4 linked regions of the Caenorhabditis elegans genome follow. The protein of the gene in region 4 interacts with the protein of the main gene of each other region in a biochemical or structural test. Each region holds a gene or a part of one and is shown on either strand. Other genes may lie near its edges.

Region 1 (3,423 bases), on a different chromosome or scaffold from region 4:
TCTACAGAAATGTATGCCAACTCACATTAAAATCTTCCACTTGAAACTGCGACTTTGTGTACAGAAACTCGAATTCTGTAAACTCGAAAACAATCCACAGCGTCAAAATCGCAAAAGTCAGGAGCAACGGAAGTTTTTTCGAAGTGGTCCTGAATTTGTTAAAGTTATTTTTGCAAAAAAAAAAGAAGTGGTCTAAAAGAAGACAAAAATCAAAATTTATCAAAACGTTACAAGCTTACATACGATTCATGCACAACTAAATATTTTCCAAATAAAAACTAACCTTCCAATCATTTTTAAATTGAAAATCGATAATAAATATGGTCCGAAGAATTTCAAGAAACGCACGCACTATCGAATTTTCCGCGTAGATAGCAGATCTAAAAAGAGGTACGCGGAAAACGGAATCGGGCAGTGTCTTGCTTGATCGCAATACAATGAGTTCACTGGAAATGAAAATCAATGTGCCGAACAGTTGGGCCGGGCAAGTTACTCCAGGAAAGAAAAAACACACTCGTAAGAAAACACTTCATTAATATTTCATATGTCACAATTTATCCACGTGATCTTCGACTGACCCCGACTTTTCCACAAGCGTACATTTTTGTCTGGGGCAGTCCTGGAGCGTCTAGGCATCCATATCTATCAAGATCTCCATTGGTGAAAGCAGCTCTCCATTCCTCGAGGTCTCCTCGAAGTCCGACCCAGTTAGGGGTCATGATGAATTGTTGAAGACAGATTGTAGGTCCTCTGAAAATAGTAATTGATGGTCTTTAAAATAATATTAGATCCGACCCATAGTTACGATTATCGGGTTGTCCAACTCCCCATTTGCTGAAGCCTGCAGTTCCATTCGTGTGACCATCGGTCCATGTAAATGTGTTATAAGGTCCACAGCTTTGGTATCTGCATGCTGGTACATTTGTCGCTCCAAGCCACATAGATGAACATAATTATACTGAAATTGCAAAACTGAGATATAGGCTTACCGGCAATGGTAGATTGTCCGGCAGCTACGAGTTTTTTCAGTGCTTCATTTGCAGTGGTCACTCGCTCATTATCATTTTGATATCCTGTCAACGTGGCACCCATTGTTTGGCAGAGGGTTTCAGCAGTCGGTTGAGTAAGCATAGCATTTGTGATCCTCGGATAGGCAATCTAACAAGGAATTGAATTCTTGTTAAATCCAGAATCACTTATAAAAATACACCAGATTTCGTGATCCCTCTCGAATCTCAACCATCCATCGTCACATTCACCTCTCGGAGTTGTTGGTCTTGAGGGTCTTGGAGGCCTCGGCCGATGCGGGGGTCTATGTCTATGTTCTTCGGAAGATGAAGATAAAGAAGAATCAGAGAAATCAAGCCGTCTTCTTCCACCTCCTTTACCACCATCAAATTCGATAGCGATGGTTATAGTTGCAAAAAGCAAAAGAAACACGACTGGCGTCGCAAGATGCATCTTTGATACGGAACTCTGCTGGTTGTCTCATAAAACTTTGTATTTTATACTGATGCTGGTTTTTATCGCTTGGAAAAAGGTGATCGGGACAGAGAGAAACGTGGTATTACCGTACACTGTACATTTTTTGTAGTAGTATTATACATCTGCATACGACATAAAACATTCAGAGTGTTCCTGATCAGTTTTTAAGTAGCAATGAATTTTTAAAAAAACTATTTTATTAATATAAGGTGTAAAACCAACAAACAACTATCACTAATATGTTAGCTTAAAGCATATCAGAAATCCGCAGTTTTGTCCAAGTTTCTGGAAAGAAATCCTCTTCGACCATTTGGTACTTCACCTGAACAAAAAAACTTTATATTTTAGGAATACGCCCAATAAATACCTCATCAGTGGTTTCTCGAATATCTCGATAATACACTGCTGATTGATTTTTTGACAGATATCCGATCCACCAGCCAAACGTGGAAGAGGGGGCTGAAAATAATTTGATTTCTCATTCTCTCAATACCTTTACACCTACCAGTTATCAGAACAGAATCACAGTAAACCTGCGAAAAATAGAGATCATCAATGGCTCGATTGTTGGGAGTTCTTAGCACTTTCATATCATTTCGAAAAGCGACATGGTTCACAATATGCTCTCCCACCCAGTCTGGATCGTTGCTGATCATGTAAATAGTTCCACTGTCTAAAAATGGGAGTTTTATAACTGCAGCCAGACTGTTCCGGTAAAATTTTTACTAACATTTAGTGAACAAATACTCGATTGCCTTGATAGTAAATGTTTCGTCTGTCCCAGTGTGCTGCGAGTCTGCGACAAAGTCTCCACGACGAACGTGCACGCAGGTACTAAACATTAAAGATTTTAAGTTTTGTTGAATATAAATTAGGTGGTACCCATGACGACCTTCCTCCTGATTCTTCATTGAAATTCTGGCTAGTTCTTCCGGGGTTGGCTTCAACAACTGCCTGATGGTAGATTCGATGGGTGCAAAATATTTGTAACTCTGAACATATCTAGCTAATATCATAGTTTACCTAGCGGTCGTAGTTCTCACCTGGAAATGCATCCCATCAATGACCAGGAACTTGCTCTGATCGCAAGTGAGCAGGCCCGTGTATTGGTAGTAACAGCAGGCGACTGGTGCGACGAATCGAGCGGACTTTGAGATCTAAAACAGTGAAGGATGTTTGATTGTCTTATATCTTCACATAGAGTCTATAGCAGGTAAGTATGCCGTGCCAACCAAAGCTGGGACCTATTTTGTTATTTTGAAAAACAATTGATTTTTTTTTGGTTTTTTGGAACAAAAAGAACCTAAAATTTTCACTTTTTCACCGGTTCTTTGTTTTTTGGTTCAAATTTATTTTTTGGTACCAGACCTGGTGTCAACCTCAATTATTACACATTAGGTTTTTAAGGTGCATTTTTTAAGGCCCGTAAGGCATACCTCAATAGGCATCGAGGCCACCTTCTCGGCTACACGTGGAACTGTTTCTCGGAAGAAACTGAGCTTTTCGTTGAGCATTGTGTCGTCTTTGTTGAATATCGCAGTTCTGTTTAACACCTCTGCCATTCCAAGTAAGGAAACTACTTCGAATAGTTGGTTTCCTGAAATTTTTGTATATTTCTATATTACAAAAAATATACGTTATCATGACTGTTGGAGCTTTTAATTATTCCGACTTTATTTTCAAAACTTTTGGGTACTTTTAGTATGGCCTTACAGCAGTTAAGGAAAGATTTAAACTGGTTTGCATATATCTAAATAAATTACCAAGGCCTGAATCCGTTATTGTCGTTAGCATGGGAATAACCAAGTATTTTTGTTCGTCGTTCCTTTTCTGTAATTATAATTTTATCATTGTAAGGTTTCATCTTAAAATTTAAAATACCCCATCACAATATAATGAAGTTCTTATCCACCAGTAGTTGTAAGGGCGAGGGATTAG
Region 2 (3,957 bases), on a different chromosome or scaffold from region 4:
ATTTTTTAGATTAATTTTGCTGATTTAAAGCATTTTTTTGTTAAGTTTTCCGTAAAAAAAAATGACGAAAAATGCTTGAAAACGGGGGAAAAATACGGTTTTCTTCCTAACGAGACCCTAAATATGATGGGCGGAGCGTTTTTATTTTGCTTTGGAGCGCGATTGCACCAAGTTTTCGAAAAAATGAATTTTTTTGGTTGCCATGATAGTCGATATTTTGTATAATTAGACCTAAAACATTCCAAAAAAAGACAATTTTAAATAAGTAAAAGTTTTGGAAAAAAATCCTGATTGGTCGAAAAGTGGGCGGAGCAAATCGCTGATTGGTCTTGCAGTTCTATTTTTGGAGGGGATTCAAACAGATGGATTGTCCCTATTTTAACGAATTTTTTTCGTGTTTTCGTTCTAATACATCGTCATTTCTCGCAAATTTGGCACGTCAGTTTAAAGGCACACGTTGTTTTTTTTTCAAGTGGGTCTCGCCACGAACTCAGTCACAGTGGTCGCTACAATTGCCAAATTTCATAGATTTCTTCATGACATATAAAGGTTTTATAAGTATGAGTTTCGGCGTCCCATTCAAGAAACTCCAACACAAAAATCTCATACTTGTTCGGGTACTTTTCCACATGCATAGAGTCTGACCGGTACAACACAAAGCATATCATCCAAATCTCCTTGATGATATCCGTAGCGAGCCGCTTCAGTGTCAGAGCTCGGGTGAATATGCATTTCCATACAATATTGTTGTCTGAATATTATAGAAATAAAATGGAATGAATTTAATTTAGGTAACCCTGAAATTTTAAAGGTTTTAGGCCTAGGCTTAAGCTTAGGCTTTGGATTAGGCTCAAGCTGTGAGGCATAGGCTTAGGCTTAGGCAGAGGCTTAGGCTTAGAAGTAGGCTCAGGCTTTGGTTCAGGCTTAGGCTTATTAGCTTGACAAGCCGAGATTTAGGCTTAGAGAGGTGCTCTGCGGCTCAAAAAAAAGTCTGAAAAGAGCTCCATGTAACTTTACGATTTATAAACTAGTAGTTAAAATCTGTACTAACCCATGTTCGTTGACATATCCATTTGGCTCGGTACCCGGATAATGGAATCCATCAGTACCAGTTGTATGTCCATCAGTCCATTCGAAAGTGTCAAGAGGGGTACATGAAGGTTTATTTGGACATCTAGCTTTTCTATAGGCTCCAACCCAAACTTCGGCTAAGCCACCTCCATTCTGGTTTGTAAGTGTACGAGCAGCGTCTGAAGTGTTTCCAGTAAAATAAAATTTCGTCTAGGAAACCGGACATCCGGTTTTTCAAAGTTCATTTTTTGAGTTTTCATATAATTTACCAGAAGAAACAGTGCCATCACGTGGTGTCAGGCTGTCTCATTACAGTTTGATCTACAAAAAATGCGGAAATATTTTTCCAGAAAAGTTGTGACGTCAGCACGCTCTTAACCATGCGAAATCAGTTGAGATGTCTGCGTCTCCCCTCCCGCATTTTTTGAAGATCAAATCGAAATGGGACTTTCTGACTCCACGTGTGCCATAGCATTGTAGCAAATCAAAAATTATGGAAAAACCTCGGTATCACCTTAAAAATAGACACTGTATTGCCCAGATTTCGGATACCCGTTAGTCCGATTTTCCACGTGGTGTCAAAGTGTGTCTCATTTCGGCTTGATCTACGTAGATCTACAAAAAATGCGGGAGAATAGACGCAGAGTTTTTAACTGATTTTGCATGGTTAAGAACGTGCTGACGTCACATATTTTTGCTGGGCACAAAATTCCCGCATTTTTTGTAGATCAATCCGTAATTGGACAGCCTGGCACCTCGTGATAATGGTTGATAGGTCCCAGCCTACAACAACTACAAATCTCACATGAAACTTGCATTCGCTCATTGGCATTCTGGTATCCGGACAATGTGGCCCCTTGTGCCTGGCACCTACTCTCGGCGATGGGCTGAGTGAGTGATTCATAGAAGACCTGTAAGACTACAAACTATAAAGAGCTAGCACTTGTAGCTCGCTCACCTTGACACACCAGACTCCCTGAGGTCTGTCAAACGACAACCAATCACTTGGACATTCGGGTTCTCTTGATACTGGCGGACGTGGTGGACGTGGCCGTGGGGGTCTTCCATGATGGTGGCCGTGGCCGTGACCGTGATGTCCTCGTCCCTCTTCTGATGATGATGATGATGATCGTGACCCAAAACCTCCACCTCCAAAACCTCCGCTGGCTCCAGGAGCAAAGATAGCTGAAGCTATGGATGCCGCCAGTAGGAGTAGCAGGATGGATCTCATTCCTAAAGGCATATTAAACCACGCCCATTTTGTAAGCTGCGCACGGTTTCGGGAACTGTGCGCAGATTGCTAATGGGATTGTAAAAGTTTTGATAATTTAAGAAAACAAAGTGATGTTTAAACAATCGACAAACCAAAAAAAAAATCTATGAAATTTCTTTAAAAAAATCGCTGTTTTATATTGATCAACCCCTCCGTTCGGAGGGGTCTCATTTCATTGCAAATGCTTGCAAAATTACAACAACTTCCCGCATCAAACATTAATTTTTGCAATTTTCAAAGATTTTGCGCGATGTTTGAACTTTTTGAACGAACCTGGCCGCGAAATAAGAAACTCGGCCACTTATTTAATGGTTTTCTTCTTCCTGGTCTCCAACTCAATATTAAACATTAATGCTTGCATTTTCAATCATTTGAGCTTTTTTGGAAACTGTAGCTTTAGAAATGACAAAGATCGTGACGAGACCCGCCCAGAAAAGTTGTGTATGTGCCTTTAAATTGCCGTTGCACACATTTTCACGAATTAATGATAAATTTTATACTTTTTCATTCCAAAGTTTGAAAAATAAAATTCTCCTTTCGATTTCAGAGCGTTTTCCTGATTCAGTTCAAATTTGAATCCAAATAAAAAACTAATTTTCAAGTCTCGAGACCCGAAGAACTCGGGGGATGTCCAATTGGGGGGATTACCAACTCGGGGGATTGGCCCCGCCCACAGAACCGTGGCTTGCAATACGCCCATTTCTGCAACTGCCGCACGGTTTTAAAACTGTATTTTTCTCAATAGAGCGAGAATTAACAAGAAAAAATAATTTTAAAACCGTGCGGCAGTTGCAGAAATGGGCGTATTGCAAGCCACGGTTCTTTGGGCGGGGCCAATCCCCCGAGTTGGTAATCCCCCCAATTGGACATCCCCCGAGTTCTTCGGGTCTCCAAGTCTCGCGCCGTTTTTCGTCTTATCTTCTCTGCGCCCTCTCACTCTCTAACGCGTGACGATGGAGCGCGACTGCACTGGAATTTTTTGGATAATTCTTTATCGCGATTTTTTCAGCAATTTTCTCATTTCTTCTAGTTTTTCTTAAGATTCTTGCTATTTTAAAAATATAAATCAGCTATTTTTAAATTTTCCATCAATTTCACCCGGAATTTCACACAAAACGCTCATTTTATTCGCAATTTTCCTTCAAATATTGTTTCTAAAGTTTTTAAATTTATTTTCAATTTTCAGACCGGAAAATGCTGCGACAAATCGGTGAATTTTATCACCAAGGCGAGAAAGATGACACAAGTCGAGTTTGGATGACGTGTTGGCATCATGGAGGACGAATTTTGGCTTCTTGCGGCGACGATAAGGCTGTCAGGGTTTGGAGCCTCGTTGGAGAGCCTGGTTGGTCAATTTTTATTGAAAATTGTGCAGAAAATCGTGATCAGCGGTGTGGAAAACATAAAAACGAAGGAAATCTATCGAAAAACAGATTTTTTCCTTTAAAAAATTCGAAAATCTCTAAAAATTCCCAAATTTCAGATTCAAAAATGCGTCTGGAGTGTCGTACAACACTGGATGACAGTCATACACGGGCGGTTCGATCAGTCGCATTTTCAAATGACGGAAAATGTCTAGTTTCTGCGAGTTTTGACGCTTCCGTCGTGGTTTA
Region 3 (3,170 bases), on a different chromosome or scaffold from region 4:
ACTAAATAAGTAACATATTTAATGGTGAAGTAGCGCCAGTGTAGAGATTGCTTTTAAAAATTGACCAAATACACTCAAAATAATAAAACTGCGTGGCGTGTACTGCAGAAAACCTCATATTTAGGCCCCGCCTTTTTCTCGTCCACTCACGGAGAAAAGGCAAAAATTTGGGGACCAACCAATATCAGGCCGCCGACATCCTACGGGTTCCGCGCGCCGCTATGTTTAACTCGCTGTGGGCGTGGTGAGCTGTCTCCGCCCGCTGCGAGTTAAACATAGCGGCGCGCGGAACCCGTAGGATGTCGGCGGCCTGATATTGGTTGGTCCCCAAATTTTTGCCTTTTCTCCGTGAGTGGACGAGAAAAAGGCGGGGCCTAAATATGAGGTTTTCTGCAGTACACGCCACGCAGTTTTATTATTTTGAGTGTATCATAGTAATTTTTTTTAACCTTTGTTTTTTTCTTGTTAGAATCTAGGTTCTTTCGTTTCACTCGGATAATAGATATAAATGCATAAACCGAATTTATATTGAAATTTATCAAGCTTTTTTCCCGCACAAGTACATTCTGACTCGCGGGCTCAAAGTCACATTACACCAAATATCGTCAAGCTGTCCACTCTTCAGATTTATCAGGTGACCCGGAATGTTCCAGTAGGACGGTGTCAAGGCCATAAGCTGCAGGCAGCGTTGAGGTCTGGAAATATAAATGGATCAGGCTTGAAGACTAAAACCCTGCATACCCTCTTCCAGCTCCATGATCATTATCCGGTTGTCCAGGCCCGAATACCATAGCTTCAGTCCCAGTGGTATGCCCGTCTGTCCATCGGAACGCCGTCGCAGAGGTTCGCTGAGCACCAAGCCAGACTCCTGAGTGAGTTTTACCAGCGGCTACGTTCAAGCTAACGGCCTTGTTTGCAATCCATTCTCGTTCTTGATTGTTTTGAATTCCGGACAGGACTGCTCCGTACTTTGCGCATTCAGCAAGACCCCGGTAGTAGTCTACATCGCCGGTGACCACCTGGAAAAGAAAGGCCTCAGGGAGCTCTACGAAAACTTAAATTTACACGAAATTAGCTTGGACATGGGCTTAGGCTTAGACCTTGGTTTGGGCTTAGGCTTAAGCTTAGGTTTTTCGCTTAGGCTTAGGCTTAAGCTTAAGCTCAGGATTTGGTTTAGTTTTCGCTTATCAGGTTTATGGTATAATTTTTCAAATTTAAAACATTTCAGGTTAGAAAACTCACTCTAACACACCATGTCCCCTGTGGTCTCTTGAAAGTATGCCAGTGCTGTCCACAGGTGCCCGGTCGAGCCGGACGCCCACCTCCATGCTCTTCTGACGAGGAGTCACATGAGGAATCATCAAAATCTATAGCTGAAGTGGTTATGAAAACGAGAAAAAGAATCAGGAACATCTTGGTTCTTCAAAAGTTTGATCGGAAGTGCACTTAAATAGCCATGTTTGCAAACGTTTTTATTACCAACTGTTCTGCAGAAAGATCGCTTCCGATGTTTGTAGCTTCATCATTTTCATGTTTGGTGTCCAGAGTTTTAGGCTCAGGCTTAGGCTCAGGCTTAGGGCTCTGATTTCTATTGTTTCAAGAAAATGCAACAAATGATTCATTACTTGGTAATCTCATATTTCGTGATAACGACACTTTCGTGGAAATTCAAAACTTGATAATCCCTCGACGGATTGGCAACTCGATGGTTAAAGTTCACGAAGAATGCCTGATTGACATGAATCTCGATATGTGACGGCTGATTGATCAAAGTGACATTGAAATTGGCACCGACAGTATACGGATTGCCGCCCCATGTTTCACCGGTCTGCCACCCAGCCTCTATATTGCAATCCATGACTAGGTCATCGGCCACAGTCCCCGGCGTGCTTTAAATTATAACCCAGTTTCAGCACCACCAGGTAGTTCACCGGATCCGCAGAGCATAGCAGGAATCGTCCTTTAATCTTTTTTAATAGGAATTTTAATAAATCCACGGTTGAATCTTTGTATTTACTGGCTAATTAAGCTATTTTTTAGCTAATCGGACTATTCTGAACCACAAAACTACAAATATTTCAATAAACTGACAACAAAGGTTTCATTCAGCTAAACAAGTTATCTAGTAATTTCAATTTTCGAGATAATGACATTTCCGGAGAAAACGACGTGTTGATAGTCTCTCGATGGATTGCCAGTTCGATGATTATAGTTTGTGAAGAAAACCTGATTGACATGAATCTCAATATGCGTTGGCTGATTGACCATAGTAACATTGAAATTGGCACCAGCAGGAAATGGGTTTCCACCATATGTGTCAGGGGTTTGAAATTGCCCATTTTGCTCACGGGTTCGGACAACCTGTAAAATGAAGAAAAAGAAGTATTCAGAGGCAAGGACTGTTTTTTAAGCAACATGGCCTAAACATGAGGTTCTAAGCTCAACGGCCCACATTTCTTAGAAGTTAAAGACTCACATGGCCCAGATCAGGCTGTGACGCGAAATGAAACAGCCACGTCTTTGCTTGATCCAAGTTAATGGACCATCTACCTTGTCCAGGAACACCATAAAATCGGAGGACCTTGCCTGTATCCCAATATCCTCCAGGAATCGGATAACGTACATCGGGCCCAAACGGCCCATTAAGAGTTTCCATATTTTCTACTGGCTTAGGTGTTGGTACGGGCCTTGGAGGCCTTGGAGGCCTCGGTGGCCTATGCCGCCCACCACCACGTCGCCCACTGTAATCCTCGAAGGAACCATCGTCGAACCTAGGCCCTTTTCCTCCACGTGGCCTATGACGATGTTCTTCAGAGGAACTGGAGGATGTTGAATCATAGTGGACTATTTTTATTTTCTTAACTTTTTTATCGCCGTTATCAGAAAAATATCCAGAAACTAGCACCAGAAAGGTGAGGAGTAGAAGAACATGTAAAAGCCTCATTGAAAAGGAACTTTTGAGGTTTCAGCGGAGGAGTACATGTTTTATAGCTTGTCGACTTTAGTCTCAAACTTTATGTGTGACTTTCAACGTCTATATCGACAAGATTTTATTATACATATGTGGAAGTGTTCTATGATCACTTCTCATGTTGCACTGAGTGGACTTTGGAGACGTGCATAAAGCGCATGACTCTAAAGCCCACGCGGTCTCTGAGCAGGGAGCGTCA
Region 4 (6,167 bases):
GTTTTCTGGCTGAATGCATTTGTTTTTCATGATTTTTTCTTTAGCATTTGATTAGAAACACCGTTTGTCAATTTTTAAATTACTTTTCCGTAAAGCGGAAATTTCAAAATCAACCTAATAATCGACAATTTTAATATTTTTTATAATATTTTTTTAAAGAAAAGTGTTCGAAAAATTGACTAACAGAATTTTAACTCAAATGCAGAAGATGAAATCAAGGAAACCTGGTAAATTAAGCCAGAAAACGCGAAAATATTGAAAATGACGTCACTCATTTGCGCGGGAATTTAAATTTAATTTGGCCGCTTTTTTTAATTTTTGCAAAGTTGAAAAATCATAAAAAATTTTGAAATTTTGAAATTTTTTTTGAAATTTTGAAAATTGTTAGCAATATTGAACAGTTATATTCGGTCATTAGGGTCCACTTTTTGTCAAAATTTTAATTACTTGAAACTAAAATTTTTTTAAAAAAATTTTAAAAAATTCCTTGAAACTTGATCTCTGAAAATAACAATTCCTGTACTGGAAATGAAAAAAAAAACACAGAACAATTTAATCACAACATTTATGATTCGTCCTGAAAGTAGAAAAAAAAACAACCGATTTGACAAGAAATGGAGCACTGCAGCCACATTGCTCAGCGAGAATTATATACCCAGTAAGTTTGCGTCTTTTGATAAAAGAAGTATGATATTCAATAGGAAAAAAAAAGAAATGACAAAAAAAGAGCTGAGAATATATAATCATAATATTCAACAGAAATTCTACACAAAACAACTATCAGGTTACTTTTCAAATTCTTCGAGAAATTTTTTCGATATTATAACACCGATTTGTTTTTGATTTGACCTACATAATATGACCCTCATAAATGAATGTTTGACCAGAGAGAAACCGTGGAGCGATGGATGGGATACCTTCTTGTGGGTTTAAAAAACGGGGGGAAGTGAAAAGAAAAAATACAACAATAACAGAGAGTGAAAGAAGCTCGAGACCCGAATGCAACGCAAAGAAACATTGAAGTTTAAGAGGGAAATTTAAAATGCTACTACATGACCTTGGTAAAATTGAGAAGACCTAACGAATGACGACTAAACAGTTTTCTTATCATCCTTCTTATCCTGATGCTCCTCGCTTTGCTCTTCGTCGTTTTGCTCGGCGTCTGAGACATCGGGGTTGTTGTACTCGGCAACTAGAACTTCGGCAACTCCCCGGCTTTCGAAGCATTCCAGTATGTGAGACATAACTGAAAATTGTTTTTTTTTCTTTAAGTTTTGTATTCCCAAATTGGAATTTTCACAGGAAAATATTTTTCAGGTTTTTCGGTAACCTTTCAATATAATTTCAATACTTACTTTTTGCTAACCGCCTTTCCATTGCCGGATAATGCTTATAAGCCAAAATCGGATGGGCTGGATCTTTCGATAATGACTCGTGTAGGGCTTTCGTCAGTGACTTTGGTGTACTGTAGAAATTCATAAGGGTCTGGAAAGTGGATGGACGTAGGATGCAGCATTGTCGGAGCGGGAGAATGATGTCGTCATCGTCAAAGTCAGATCTGCCAAATGCTCGACCATGGTCGAGATGGATCGCATAGGAAGGAAGATCGTTGAACACGTTGAAGGATTCGAAGTGATGACGGTCTTGGTTTCCTGGATGTTTGTAGTTTAGTCTTTGGTTAATAATAAAATGTTAGTAAACTTGTGGTAAATGTGCACCCGACATTGAACGAGGTCCATAAAAAGCACTGTGAGCAGCAAATTCTATATTGTACAGTTGCTGTCTTTCAATTACTCTCCTCATACAGAACAGTTATGAAACTTTAATACTCGTAGCACTGTCAGAAATACGAAAAAAAAATTCCGTACAGTTATTCTATATTTACCATCCATTCGGAGGGTGCAAACACCACCGGTTTTTTATGTTCAAAATTTGACAACTGCAAATTCTTACCTATTAAATAATCCAAAATATGAATATCAACCAGATCAAGTAACCTTCTTCCATGAGCATATTGTCGCTTGGTTTTCACCTTATCCGTGCAATAATTCATACTCGACTGCCATTCAGCTACTTGATTCTTTTTCGAGTAGGTTCTGAAAACAGTCTGCTAGCTATTTTATTATCCATCGGCCTTCAACCTACCGTCTATACGGACTCCTATTATGCTTCCGAGGAACTGCTGACTCGTCGGGTAAGAACACTTGCACACTGCCTTCCTTCATATCAGGAAGACCGCAAATTGCATGTGTCGTGTCGCAGTAATAATCGCATCGTGACACGAAGCAAAAGTTTTTGGCTGGAATTATTTTTATAAAATTGATGTGGTGAACAGGTTTGGTGTCTTGATGTCAACTGTACCTGGAGAGAAGAAGAAAGTCTTCTTGAGTTTTTTCTCTGCTTTTTCGAACAGCTCAGTTGTCATATTGAGAACTCGTCCAACGGTGGGGATTGCTCGTCGGAAGCCGAGCACTCTGAAATTCAACTGACCGATTTAAAAAAAAAAATTGATAACCATCTCTAACAAAAACAAATCCATTATTTAATCCACTAACCTGTCTAAATGGAAAGTTGCGATTTCTGCATGATGTCGTTCAAAATCACTGAAGTAGAAATGATTCGGATCCGATTCATAATCGCGTCCAAATCTGAAAAAGAAAGAAAACAACTATTTTCCGGTGTTCTCTGTTCATCAAACCTCATCGGCTTAAACACGGCCTGCTTATCGTTTTTGAAGGTGAACACAAATTTCACTTGAGTGCCTCCATCCATAATGTGCACGTGTTTGATGGGACTTGTGTTGAGATCGTGCAGCAAGTTGTCAATCATTTGATCATCCGAGTACACCGAACAACTTCCAATGTTTGAGTAGAACCTCTCCCAGTTGTCATCTTCCGGCACATTTCTCCTGAAACAGTGATGAGATTTTTTTTTGCTGGCAGCTGGTGTTAAAATTTTCATTTTCATTTTCAATTTTTGAAATTTCAAAATATAAAACTTACTGTTCAGACTTCTCCCAGAACTTTGAAAGCGTGATGTTCTTCTTGCACTCGTTCTGCCTTAACTGATCAAAATCTACATTTTTAGTGAGATCATAAAGTTTGCGTAAAGTGATTTTGTTAGATGAAAACAAGAAGTTGAATGGATCACTAAGATCCTTCTCGCCAAGGCTTGGAGGAATTGGCTGGTGTGGTAGACTATTTTGTCCGACTGGAAACAAGTCGGGACTCTGGTGGCCTACAGCTCGTGCTTCGTTTGATTGAGGTCCTTGTTTCCATTCTCCTGAAAATGGATGCAAGATTATTTAGGAGAAACCTTGTGAATGGTTTGTTTAAAACTATCAACTTAGTCATACAGGCCCAGAGTTTAATAAATATAGTTATCATAAGAACTGTTAGAAAAGAGAGATAATTGAAAGGTGGAGTAGCGCCAGTGGGGAAATTGTTAACAACTATTCCTAAAATGCCGAAATGATCGAATATCATAATAAAACTTTTCAAAAATGTTTTCTAAATTTTTTTATTTACTGTCAAAAAGTGGCAATTACTCAGTTTTTGCCACTTATAATACTGGAAGTCGACCAAAATTATTTTTTCCTACATTTTTTACGCTTTAATTTTGTTTTATTTATTAGGATTTAAACATTGCAGGGGTCGGAACATGCGACGTTGCTCCAGATTTCACCAAAAGCTCATATTTTTCAAAACTGTGGAAATTTGCCAAAACTTTGATCGGAAATTATAAAAAATCTAAAAATGTTTTGGAGTGTTTTATTATGATATTCGGTCTTCTTGGATCATTATTAGTGTAGTTAGACAATATCCCCACTGGCGCTACTCCGCCTTTAATATTATAAAGTTCGAATAGGCCTAGTAAAAATATTATCAAAATGGGTAAACTACGAAAATCTATATATGTAGAACGTTTCAGACTTATTAAAAATTGCAATCAAATTTTTGGCAAACTGCCAGATTTTCAAGAAAATACAAAGTTCATAAACATTTTTTTGTAATTTTTTCCAACGTGTCATTGTCAAAAAGTTTTCTACTACTTTTTTAATACTTTTCTAGGAACAATATAAAAACTTTTGTGGAAAAGTGTTGATTAAAATAGTATTCAAAGATGTCTAAAGTTTTTCCATTTTTTTCGGAAATTGAGATTTGATCTAAATTTTCATATAGACAATAAAGACAAAATTGTCACAAAACTCCCACATGTTATAGGCCACATTTAGGCATAGTTTCTCTCTTGTTTTATCGATTGCTATCGCCACTATTCCTTTCTAGCGAATTCAAATAATCATTTTCAACCAATAAACAACACATATACAATTTTAGAACTTACTTTCATAGTTGTCCTTGGAAAACGAGATTATAACCAGTGTAGCCGCAAAAACTCCGATCGCCAAAGTGAATAATCGCTTTATATTGCACCGCATGTCTTTCTGGACTTTTCTCGTCTCACTTCTTGCTCTTTGCTGGTTTCAGCTTCATCAAACGCCGGCTCCCAGTTTTGTGACACTGCAAAATGAGCATTTATGGGGTGAGGTTCATAAGCTATTATAGATAAATAATGGGGTAGAATGAGGAAACAAGAGATCAAAGCGATTAATTAATAATTTACTCCAGCAATATATACCAATTACAATTCAATTCTAGTCCTATAAATTCAATTAAAGTTTCTTCTAATGGACAGAAGAGGGCAAGTGGGGGGAGAGAAAAAGAAACTGCCACACTGTTTTCGAGAAACATCACCACACGCACGCCATCAACCACCTCCTCCTCCTCCATCCACTCCTAAACTGACAGACCCGCACACCTTGTATATTGTAAAAACGACAAAACATTGGAGAGGCGAAGAGGCTGTAAACATCGGCGAATGATGTGGAGGGAAGGGCCTGGGAACGTCAAAGGTGTGTGTGGTTCGTTTCTTCGGCAGAGTCGCTGTGTGTGTTTGCTCGTAAAGTGCTGGGAAGCAAGAAATTGACGGAGGATTGCCCACCTTGCGTCACCGAACTTATTGGTGGTAAATGGGACTTTTTGGAAAATTAGCTGGGTCATCATTTGGGATGTGGTCAGGGTGGAGAACGAGATTGAGATTTTTGATATCCCACATCTAGAAATGATCCGTTATATGTATATTATGAGCCTTTAATAAGAGATGAGCACCAAAATTTGATTTATTATCCGTTTAAAAAACAGAAAATTTGGTTCGCTTTTGAGAATATTTTATGTAGAAAATTAAACAAAAACTGTAAGTTTGACAGGAAATTTCAATTAGCGACGAGGAAAAATCAACGACAATACTTTTACTAAATAGTTTTTTTAATTGGAAAAACAACACTTATTTTATCAAAATTTATAAATCGGACCAATTCAAGTTTGTTAATTTGTTACTAATTTGAAAAAAAACTCATAATTAAAATCAATTTTGCTCCCATGCAGATATATTTACTGCTCAAATAAACTAGGCTTAAACGTTTTACGATCAAACGTGTGGTTTTACATAAGCTTTTAAAATCTTAAAGTGGAGTAGCGCCAGGGGGAAATTGTTAAAAACCATTCCTATGGTGCCAAAATAACCGAATATCATAATAAAACTTTTCAAAAAAGTTTTCAAAATTTTTTTATTTACTGTCAAAAAGTGACAATTACTCAGTTTTTGCCACTCATAATTTTGGATTTCGACCAAAAAAAAATTTGTTTTTCTGCATTTTTTATATTGTAATTTTGTTTTATTTATTTGGATTTAAACATTGTAAGAGTCAAAACATACGACATTGCTTTGGATTTCCTCAAAAGCTCATATTTTTCAAAAATTTGTCAATTTTCCAGAACTTTGTCCGGAAAAAAAAGGAGTGGTTGATTATGATATTTGGTCGTTTTGGATCATTATAGGTTTATTTAGAAACAATCCCCACTGGCGCTACTCCACTTTTAAACATTGCACATAGAGAGAAAAATATGAAAAATAAGTACGAATCTGAAATTTCAATATTTCTATTTTAATTCCAAATCTGATTCAAAATTTAAAGATTTTTTCTTTCTATTTTCTAACCATAAAATAAAAACATTGGATCAAGAAAAAATAATCTTTCTCAAATTGTAGTCAGAATGATGATATCAGAGAAAAACAAATTTCAAGCAAAACAAAAACTATATGATAAG

The links.
Region 1: of the proteins of famk-1 (region 4) and clec-110, one has a biochemical effect on the other in vitro, tested with the Caenorhabditis elegans proteins (one study listed by BioGRID).
Region 2: of the proteins of famk-1 (region 4) and clec-104, one has a biochemical effect on the other in vitro, tested with the Caenorhabditis elegans proteins (one study listed by BioGRID).
Region 3: of the proteins of famk-1 (region 4) and clec-100, one has a biochemical effect on the other in vitro, tested with the Caenorhabditis elegans proteins (one study listed by BioGRID).

Annotation. Positions count from the first base shown.
Region 1 is NC_003279.8:13,202,535-13,205,957, reverse strand, and holds clec-110 (C-type lectin domain-containing protein), read right to left. Parts: upstream 1,462-3,423; coding exon 1,211-1,461; intron 1,145-1,210; coding exon 990-1,144; intron 929-989; coding exon 796-928; intron 751-795; coding exon 555-750; downstream 1-554. Other genes in the region: ZK1225.1 (Core-2/I-branching beta-1,6-N-acetylglucosaminyltransferase family protein), read right to left, coding at 26-149, 284-294; F17B5.6 (L-Fucosyltransferase), read right to left, coding at 1,733-1,807, 1,853-1,944, 1,991-2,158, 2,216-2,319, 2,368-2,477, 2,529-2,642, 2,922-3,082, 3,249-3,315 and 1 more.
Region 2 is NC_003279.8:12,857,844-12,861,800, reverse strand, and holds clec-104 (C-type lectin domain-containing protein), read right to left. Parts: upstream 2,309-3,957; 5' UTR 2,303-2,308; coding exon 2,030-2,302; intron 1,983-2,029; coding exon 1,877-1,982; intron 1,251-1,876; coding exon 1,052-1,250; intron 752-1,051; coding exon 604-751; 3' UTR 508-603; downstream 1-507. Other genes in the region: ciao-1 (putative cytosolic iron-sulfur protein assembly protein CIAO1 homolog), read left to right, coding at 3,539-3,689, 3,828-3,957.
Region 3 is NC_003279.8:11,233,764-11,236,933, forward strand, and holds clec-100 (C-type lectin domain-containing protein), read right to left. Parts: upstream 1,414-3,170; coding exon 1,243-1,413; intron 1,020-1,242; coding exon 742-1,019; intron 696-741; coding exon 539-695; downstream 1-538. Other genes in the region: F46A8.8 (Galectin), read right to left, coding at 2,119-2,361, 2,477-2,944.
Region 4 is NC_003284.9:15,208,740-15,214,906, forward strand, and holds famk-1 (Extracellular serine/threonine protein kinase CeFam20), read right to left. Parts: upstream 4,521-6,167; 5' UTR 4,494-4,520; coding exon of another isoform or gene 4,461-4,493; 5' UTR 4,439-4,460; coding exon 4,345-4,438; intron 3,283-4,344; coding exon 3,003-3,282; intron 2,909-3,002; coding exon 2,699-2,908; intron 2,649-2,698; coding exon 2,556-2,648; intron 2,475-2,555; coding exon 2,362-2,474; intron 2,300-2,361; coding exon 2,146-2,299; intron 2,097-2,145; coding exon 1,954-2,096; intron 1,653-1,953; coding exon 1,356-1,652; intron 1,247-1,355; coding exon 1,092-1,246; 3' UTR 550-1,091; downstream 1-549. UniProt on the Caenorhabditis elegans protein: Golgi serine/threonine protein kinase that phosphorylates secretory pathway proteins within Ser-x-Glu/pSer motifs.